2 linked regions of the Mytilus edulis genome follow. The protein of the gene in region 1 interacts with the protein of each later gene in a pairwise test. Links are inferred from orthologs where the notes say so. Each region holds a gene or a part of one and is shown in the gene's direction. Other genes may lie near its edges.

Evidence for each region. The genes of interacting proteins can lie anywhere in the genome.
Region 2: the proteins of DNA repair protein RAD51 homolog 1 (region 1) and SUMO-conjugating enzyme UBC9-B interact in a two-hybrid assay, tested with the Caenorhabditis elegans proteins (2 studies listed by BioGRID). The link is inferred for Mytilus edulis from reciprocal best matches to the Caenorhabditis elegans genes rad-51 and ubc-9.

The regions. Positions count from the first base shown.
Region 1 is NC_092346.1:57,670,818-57,674,579, forward strand, and holds the start of DNA repair protein RAD51 homolog 1, read left to right. Parts: upstream 1-1,328; 5' UTR 1,329-1,536; intron 1,537-3,720; 5' UTR 3,721-3,745; coding exon 3,746-3,762.
Region 2 is NC_092352.1:32,417,490-32,421,251, reverse strand, and holds the start of SUMO-conjugating enzyme UBC9-B, read left to right. Parts: upstream 1-890; 5' UTR 891-963; exon of another isoform or gene 964-1,054; intron 1,055-2,592; exon of another isoform or gene 2,593-2,641; intron 2,642-3,762. Other genes in the region: RAD50-interacting protein 1-like, read right to left, coding at 699-821. UniProt on the Caenorhabditis elegans protein: Accepts the ubiquitin-like protein smo-1 from the aos-1-uba-2 E1 complex and catalyzes its covalent attachment to other proteins with the help of an E3 ligase such as gei-17.

The DNA.
Region 1 (3,762 bases):
ATTCTAGCATTTTAGTTAAATTTTAGACGGTTTTCGTGTAAAACGAAAGTGGCCGCATTCGTGTTCATCCTTAATATTGAAATGTTAGTTGTATTTTATGATAATACATAACATATATAAAGGTTGAGGATGAACACGGATGCGGCCACTTTCATTTTTACCAAAAACCATCTGAAAAGTGACATTTTTCGGCATATTAGGTAGATTTTTCATATTTGAGCTTGAATCGGATCGTTTTTAATGACTAAATCTGTTAAAATCTTTCACATAAACTAAATAATTCAAATAAAATAGACATTTTAAAAGTGTTTAAAAAGTGGTCAAAATCTTTCGTCAGATGAACCTGAAATTTGAAGGCCAAAATCGGTCCTTACCGGACCTACTCCTTTATAAGATTAAAACTTATAATTATCAGAGACACATAATACTATATTATATGTCTCTGTAATTATTAATACTTTTACAAGTGCAGATTATTTCAGTTTGCTTGATTTTTTTATGTTTTTAAATTAGCATTTTAATGGGAGATAACTCTGAAATAGTGCATTTTCTGAAGGAATCTACATGAAACGTGCTAGTTTGTATTTTAACTGGAAAAAAACGCACGGTGACCCAATCTTTTCTTTTGATATCATCAAAGCATTTCCTTAAAGCTATCTTCTCGTATTTTATTTTACAATTTTAGTTATCATTCAGTTCAGCTCCTATAATCACATAATGATTTTTTTCCTGTTTAATCTGTGAAAAAAAATGTGTCATTTTGTCACAACCTGTAGCCTGAAGAAATCGTGATAAACTATCATTTTCACAATATTTTTGAATATATGTCAATATATATATACTACGTTTTGGCAAAGTATATGAACAAATTTATTCTATCATTTTTAATTTAGACTCCCATACCACCTTAACATTTTCTTACAACACTTTTTGTTTTTGGTGGGGTTCGTGTTGCTTATTCTTTAGTTTTCTATGTTGTGTCATGTGTACTATTGTTTGTCTGTTTGTCTTTTTCATTTTTAGCCGTGGAGTTGTCATTTTATTTTCGATTTATGAGTTTGATCAGAGACATATATACACATGTGTATATATGTCTCTGGTTTGATATCTTTGGTATCTTTCGTCCCTCTTTTACTCTAGTAAATATAGAAGTATCATTTGCGGTCACTTGCGTTTCATGATCGATGTAGCCTTTCGTGTGCAAGTCAAAAACTCTGTTTTTCAAAATGTGGTGACTCAGTTTTTAAAATAAATATTGTGACAAGGGAGACAAATCTACCAGCCGTTTTGGTCTATATTGTATTTTTGGTAGTTAGTTTTAAAGAAAGAGGAAATGACGTATTATTGTGGCGGGACGTCTGATTTTAGATTTGTAAACATTGGTGGAAAACTTTTACAAATGACTAAATAGTTTAACTAAAACACAGAGAATTAAACTTCGACCTCTTATAAGATATTACTTTTTAATTTAAAGATAAGCTAGACAAGAAGAAGCGTGTTGCATTAAGTGTACAGGCGACAGCCAGTAAATTTTCAGTGAGTGGCACTTTATTTTCAGATTTGGGTAGACGCAATACTCTATAGTTGAACACACAAACATACGCAAGATATGGTGAATATATAATTTTTCGAAATTAGTAAAATTCTCTTAGTTAAAAGGGATAAGAAAGAATGGCAAGAATTACCAAAAATAAAACAAGGATTTGATCTAATCCTATACAAATCCTTGATTAAAACAACTGATAGATTTATCTCCCTTGTCACAATATTTATTAAAAAAATGTAACTGCATGAATTTGTGATGAATTATTTCTTCTCTTGTTAAAACCAAATTTTGAAAAACAATAGACCACTTTCAAGTTCATCCGTCACCGGAAAAAACTGGTCAATAGTGCTCTTTACGGTTAGTTCGGCCATATTGGATAGGGGGCAGATTTTCATAATAGAGGTAAAAATGGTGTGAAAAATACGGGAAAACATCATTAAAACAGAGCTGTTGCTTGGAAACACACATAGGATTTCCCACACTTTCATACCATTTCCACCTCCTTCCAAAAAATCTGCCCCCTATCCAATATGGCCGAACTAACCGTGAAGAGCCCTATTATGCTCGCCTTTATGACGTCATTAACCAGATAGAGGGGATCGCCTGTATCCCTGCACTATTTACGTTCATCAAGCGTCTTAGTGATCGTCATTGTACAGGATAAACTAGAAATAATGGTTGTTCTGTAGGTACTTAATGACAATTCCCTAATGACAGCAGTGCTGATTTTCAATTTTGAGAATTCAATTTGCCAAATTATGAATAATTCGTACATAAATGAATATAGAATTATCCAACCACTCGCTCAACATTGGAATGGAAGTGACGACGCCCCTAAACGCACAAATGATGTTCACTAAAACCAGAGTTTTTGACGGAAATGCATCGAACTCGAAAGTTGTCAATTACTTTGTTATTGGTCAGAGCTATATTTCAATGACTATTTAATAGAGCAGAAATATCTGGAAGTCACAGACAAAATAGTATTAGTGCTATTTAAAATAACTGCTTGACATTTTTCAAACCCCTGTCTTTATTCTTATGTACAGATTCAACCCTATCATAAGAAGTAGATTAATTTTATCTTTAAAAACAGTTATCAAAGCAGTCCGAGACATATGAAATTTATCAACATATAAAATTTTGCATATTCATTCCTTACCTCAGTGTACATGTACAATGTACTGATCATGACATTTGTATATTTTATGCCCAACAAATGCACAAATGACGTTAGATAACATCACCTACAACAAAACACTTTGACGGAACAATAACAATTGGAACAAGGGCATTCACAGGAGTACCCGCACAACATCAAATCTGGTATCAGCTGTCTTCATAAAAAGTTGAATTTTCAATAACACAAAATGCTTTATTTTCAGTGCCAGTCGTTTTTTTGCCAGGAATATATTAAGTCTGTTTTAAATGTAATTTATATCGAAAAATTGCATTGAAAGCAATCTCACATTTCTTGTAGGATTTATATGAAATTTTATGATAACTTCACCATGTTTACTTTTTTATAACATTTTTTTTTATCAAGTTGTATTGAACATTATCATCATACATTGTACTTGACTTTTATACAAATTTATGCCATGTATATGTTTGCATTTTTGTATATGCCTTTCTATGGTGAGGGCCTCAGGAAAGATTAGTTTTATAGCTAACTGTGTAACCCTTAAAGTCTTAAAATAAAGTATTGTTGTTATTGTACATGTAGGTCCATAATCAGCAAAATTAATGGATATATGCAAATTGGAAATAATAAAAAAAGATTTGTTTTAGCGAATGGTATTGATAGAAGTGAAATAAAATTGAGAATGGAAATGGGGAATGTGTCAAAGAGACAACAACCCGCCCAAATAAAAAACAACAGCAGAGGGTCACCAACAGGTCTTCAATGTAGCGAGAAATTCCCGCACCCGGAGGCGTCCTTCAGCTGGCCCCTAAACAAATATATACTAGTCCAGTGATAATGAAATGTCCACATTTATATTTTGAATCTTTGTTAGAATTCAATTTAAGTTCTATTTTGTATTATTTTTGATTTTGCCATTATTGACAATGGGTTTTTGTCTGATTTCCCATTACTATAACGTGTTTTAACTTCATGAATGTTTTATTTTAAATTAATTAATTATATAAAATAGCTTTGTCTTTTTGAATAGGATCTTTATCATCTTTACGTTTAACATGGCAATGCAACAATC
Region 2 (3,762 bases), on another chromosome or scaffold:
ATTTTAGAAAAAATAATGTATTTTGTACAAACCAGGTGCCAATCTGAAATTAATCAAAATCCGTAAAAATTTCATCACACGAAACACCAACCTTACACTTTTTACTAGTAATTTTTTGTACTGAAAAGTATTTAATAACTTTTTTTAAGATTTAAGCGATCACCCGAACCACGACTTTAGAAAAAATGTATTTCCGGATTTTGTAGTCATTTCCTGTCCGTGTACTGATCCAATTTTTATTTCATACGAAAACATATGACGCCGTTTTTTTGACATACAAAAATCGCAAAGTAATCGGAAACAGTAAAAAATCGTAGAAATCATTGACAAAAAAACTAGATACCTAAAATCAATCTACAGGACATGCTTTTTAAATTTGAGTAAACACCTAAATAAAAACTCAACAGTAAAAACCGTAAGCAGTGAAAATTGTTATTAGTACGAAAACACATTACACGATGATATACGTCATGAAGGTACCCCCATTACTACCCTCATAAATGTTTCAACAGTTCAAAAACAGAGCAAAATGAAATTGCTCATCCTCATTCCTGTGGGAAGCAGGACAAATCGCCACACTAGCAAAACGCCCAACACCAAATCGCCACACTTTTTCACAAACTCGCGATTTGCCAGTGGGGCGATTTGTCATGGATTCATTCATGTGTACTGTTCCTATGACTTAAGGCATTAATTACTTGTTGTCCTAATGACTCAACAGTTTCTTTTATATTTTTATGAACATCTTTTAAATCTGATAGAGTCTTTATATTTTGGTTCAAGTATTCTGTAACGTGGACATTCTTCTCTGATTTTGCCATCTGTGAAGAAAGGGATTGTTTACATAGTTGCTTCCCTTAGAAAAAAATAGTTGACATACATCGTACAAACGCTTGACGCGAAGGTGTTAGATTAATGTAAAGCGTCTAATTGATCTGTTCACGTGACATAGTTTTTCCAGCGGTAAGTTTCGTGAAATGAGAAAGGATTTTTCTTTAAAACCATTTACTCTTTTGAATGACACATAAAACTGTAAAAGTACCCTCACATATTTGTACGATTTTATATATACAACTGTTATCTTTGAATAGATTCTATTTTTTCGTGTTATCTTCGTTAAAACAAGAAAATCATGAATGGTTCTTTGCCTAAATGGAAACAGGATATCCAAGTTATTCTTTCTAATCCGTGGAGTAACTATTTCAATGACATGCTATTGAAAACAAAGCTGAATGATAAACATTTGAATTACCACAACCCCTTCAGACTAAATCCCTTTTTCCTGGTTAAGGCCCCATCCTGCATCCCAGACTCAAATTGTTCAATGATTGTTAATAATTTTAACCTTATCAATTGGGTTTTATTGTAAATACTGTATGTAACCAAAGGGGACTAGATTTGTAATGTGACCATAGGTAGGCCCACAGAGTTTAAGCTTACTGTAGACTGTTAGAAACAAAACTCAATTATAAGGAAGAAGATTCTTATTAGACTACCGACTAGTCTATTTTTATAGACCAAATAATTTACTTCTCTGAGTTACTTAATCTTTTGACAAGATAACTAAGAAGTGACTAGTCTGTGTGACTTTTTCCCAAAATTGAAACTGTAATTTGAAGTAAAATCATGCTTCCAATTTGCTGTTGGTAAAAAAATCAATTGTTTTCCAATAATTTTGTCATATAAAAAAGAAATTACTGTTACAATGTAGTTTAATTTTTCACCAAAGTGTCATCCAAAGAAATGGAATCATGAGACATTAATTTTTTGCACACAGCACCAGTGACCTATACTGCTATCCCTGCTCTGGGGTGGATCCAGCCATTTTGAACATTTCATTGTTGTAAAAACATCTAAAGGGCACCTGCCACCCTCACTGGTAGAGATATAAAAGGCTGATTATTGTTATATAAACAAATTTTGTGTTATAATCTTAATAGTTAAGGATGTAAATGTAAATGTAATTATGCTTAAATTGTATAAACACATACATGTATTAGTAATTGACAAAACTTGTCAAGGTCATTTTTGCTGAAAAGTAAAGTTTTACAAAATCATAAACAGTTTGACTTAGCTTTAACATTTGTGATTAAAGGGAGTACTGACTGGTACCTTTCCAAAATTGCATCCCTATTTTTGAAGATGTTTTTGAAGGAATTTATATAGATTTCCAACATGTCCAAAAATAAAAGGAAAACAATTTTGTTTTGTACCCTGCAATATAAACATTATATTGAATAGCTGGAGGCATGTTAAAAAAAAATGAGACACTATTTTTGTGAATGGTGATAATTAAAGCCATTGCTTTAATTAATAAACCAATTATTATAAACATTTGACTTGAATATTTTTTTCTTCATTCAAGTTGTATTATTTGGCAGCTAATGAGTTATATTTTACTAATTGATCATGATATAAAACATTATCCAAAACTTTAGAAAAAGTAATGTTTATACTTAAAAGAGGTTTATAAAGAAGAATTAAAATCCATTTTGGAGTTTCTAAGTATTTAATCTTTTAAGACTTTGTTGGAGTAATAAAAGTCAGACTCTAATATAAGTATCTCATACCTTTACTTTTTAAATTAGAGACGCATGTTAGGGTTCCTGTTGAAGGTGGTTGATATTTGAAGAGAAAAAAGGTAGAGTTTGCTTTAGATGTTCTATTTTAATATATGGTTAAAAAGAAACAAAAAGGGCATTTTCTTTTAATTTAAACTTTCATTTTCTTTCGTTGAATAAAAATTTCTATAAAAAAAAAAATTGTACAGATAAATAACGATAATATTTATTTAAAACTATTCCATTTCTTCAATAATTTATAACTGCAAATAGAATTACTTTTAATCTTATGGACTACACATAATAATTTCAAAGGAGAAATAAACAAATATACTAAATTGTTTTAACAGTAGACATGTAGAAATAGGAATAAAAATAAAATAAAATAAAGAAATACAAAAGGACCTTTTAGGAGTGAAACTGGGTAACTATTTATAGAGACTGAATGATATTCTTTGGCTTTATATTAATTAAAACCTTGTGGTAAAACAATACAATTTGTTTTATGTTTGATGTTGCATATAAGTTATTTATTAATGACTACCTGTATGTGGTTGGTTAGAATACATTTCTCAAAATAAGGTTTAGGGCTTTTCAAGTGTTTACAATTTGATCACCTGTTTAAAGTATACAAATTTCTAAAACAGTGCCCTCAAAATGGAACATCCTGTGGTTGGCTCCTATTTTGCATGTTGTAATGTTTTCTTTCATAAATTACTTGAAACACAAATTTGCTCAAACTAATGGTAGTCTACATATAGTTATGTTTAGGATCTATAGATGTTTTCTACATGTACAATGTATTATGTTTATGAGGAATGATTTACACATCTTTATATTATAATTCTCCGATCTTTCAAACCAAACAGGCAATTATGTTCAGGTGCATTTCTTTTAGTAGAAAAGCTACTTGTTTATTTATGTCTTCTTTTGATGAGTGAACAAACTTATTACTGTGACTTGAACGAATAGCAATTTGTTTTATCAAATCAAACTTCAACTTGTTAGAAATTTTTTCCAACTGCTAATGGGAAATACAGTTCAGTGGCCAAAGAACAAAGCTGCCAAATTCAACCGAAAAGACTAAAGAAAATTTGTTCTCTGTTGACCATTCAAATTCATGATTTACCTACATCCACAACATGAAGGAAAATTTGTAATTCATGTAACCAATTTCAATATTTATCAATAAATTTGTATG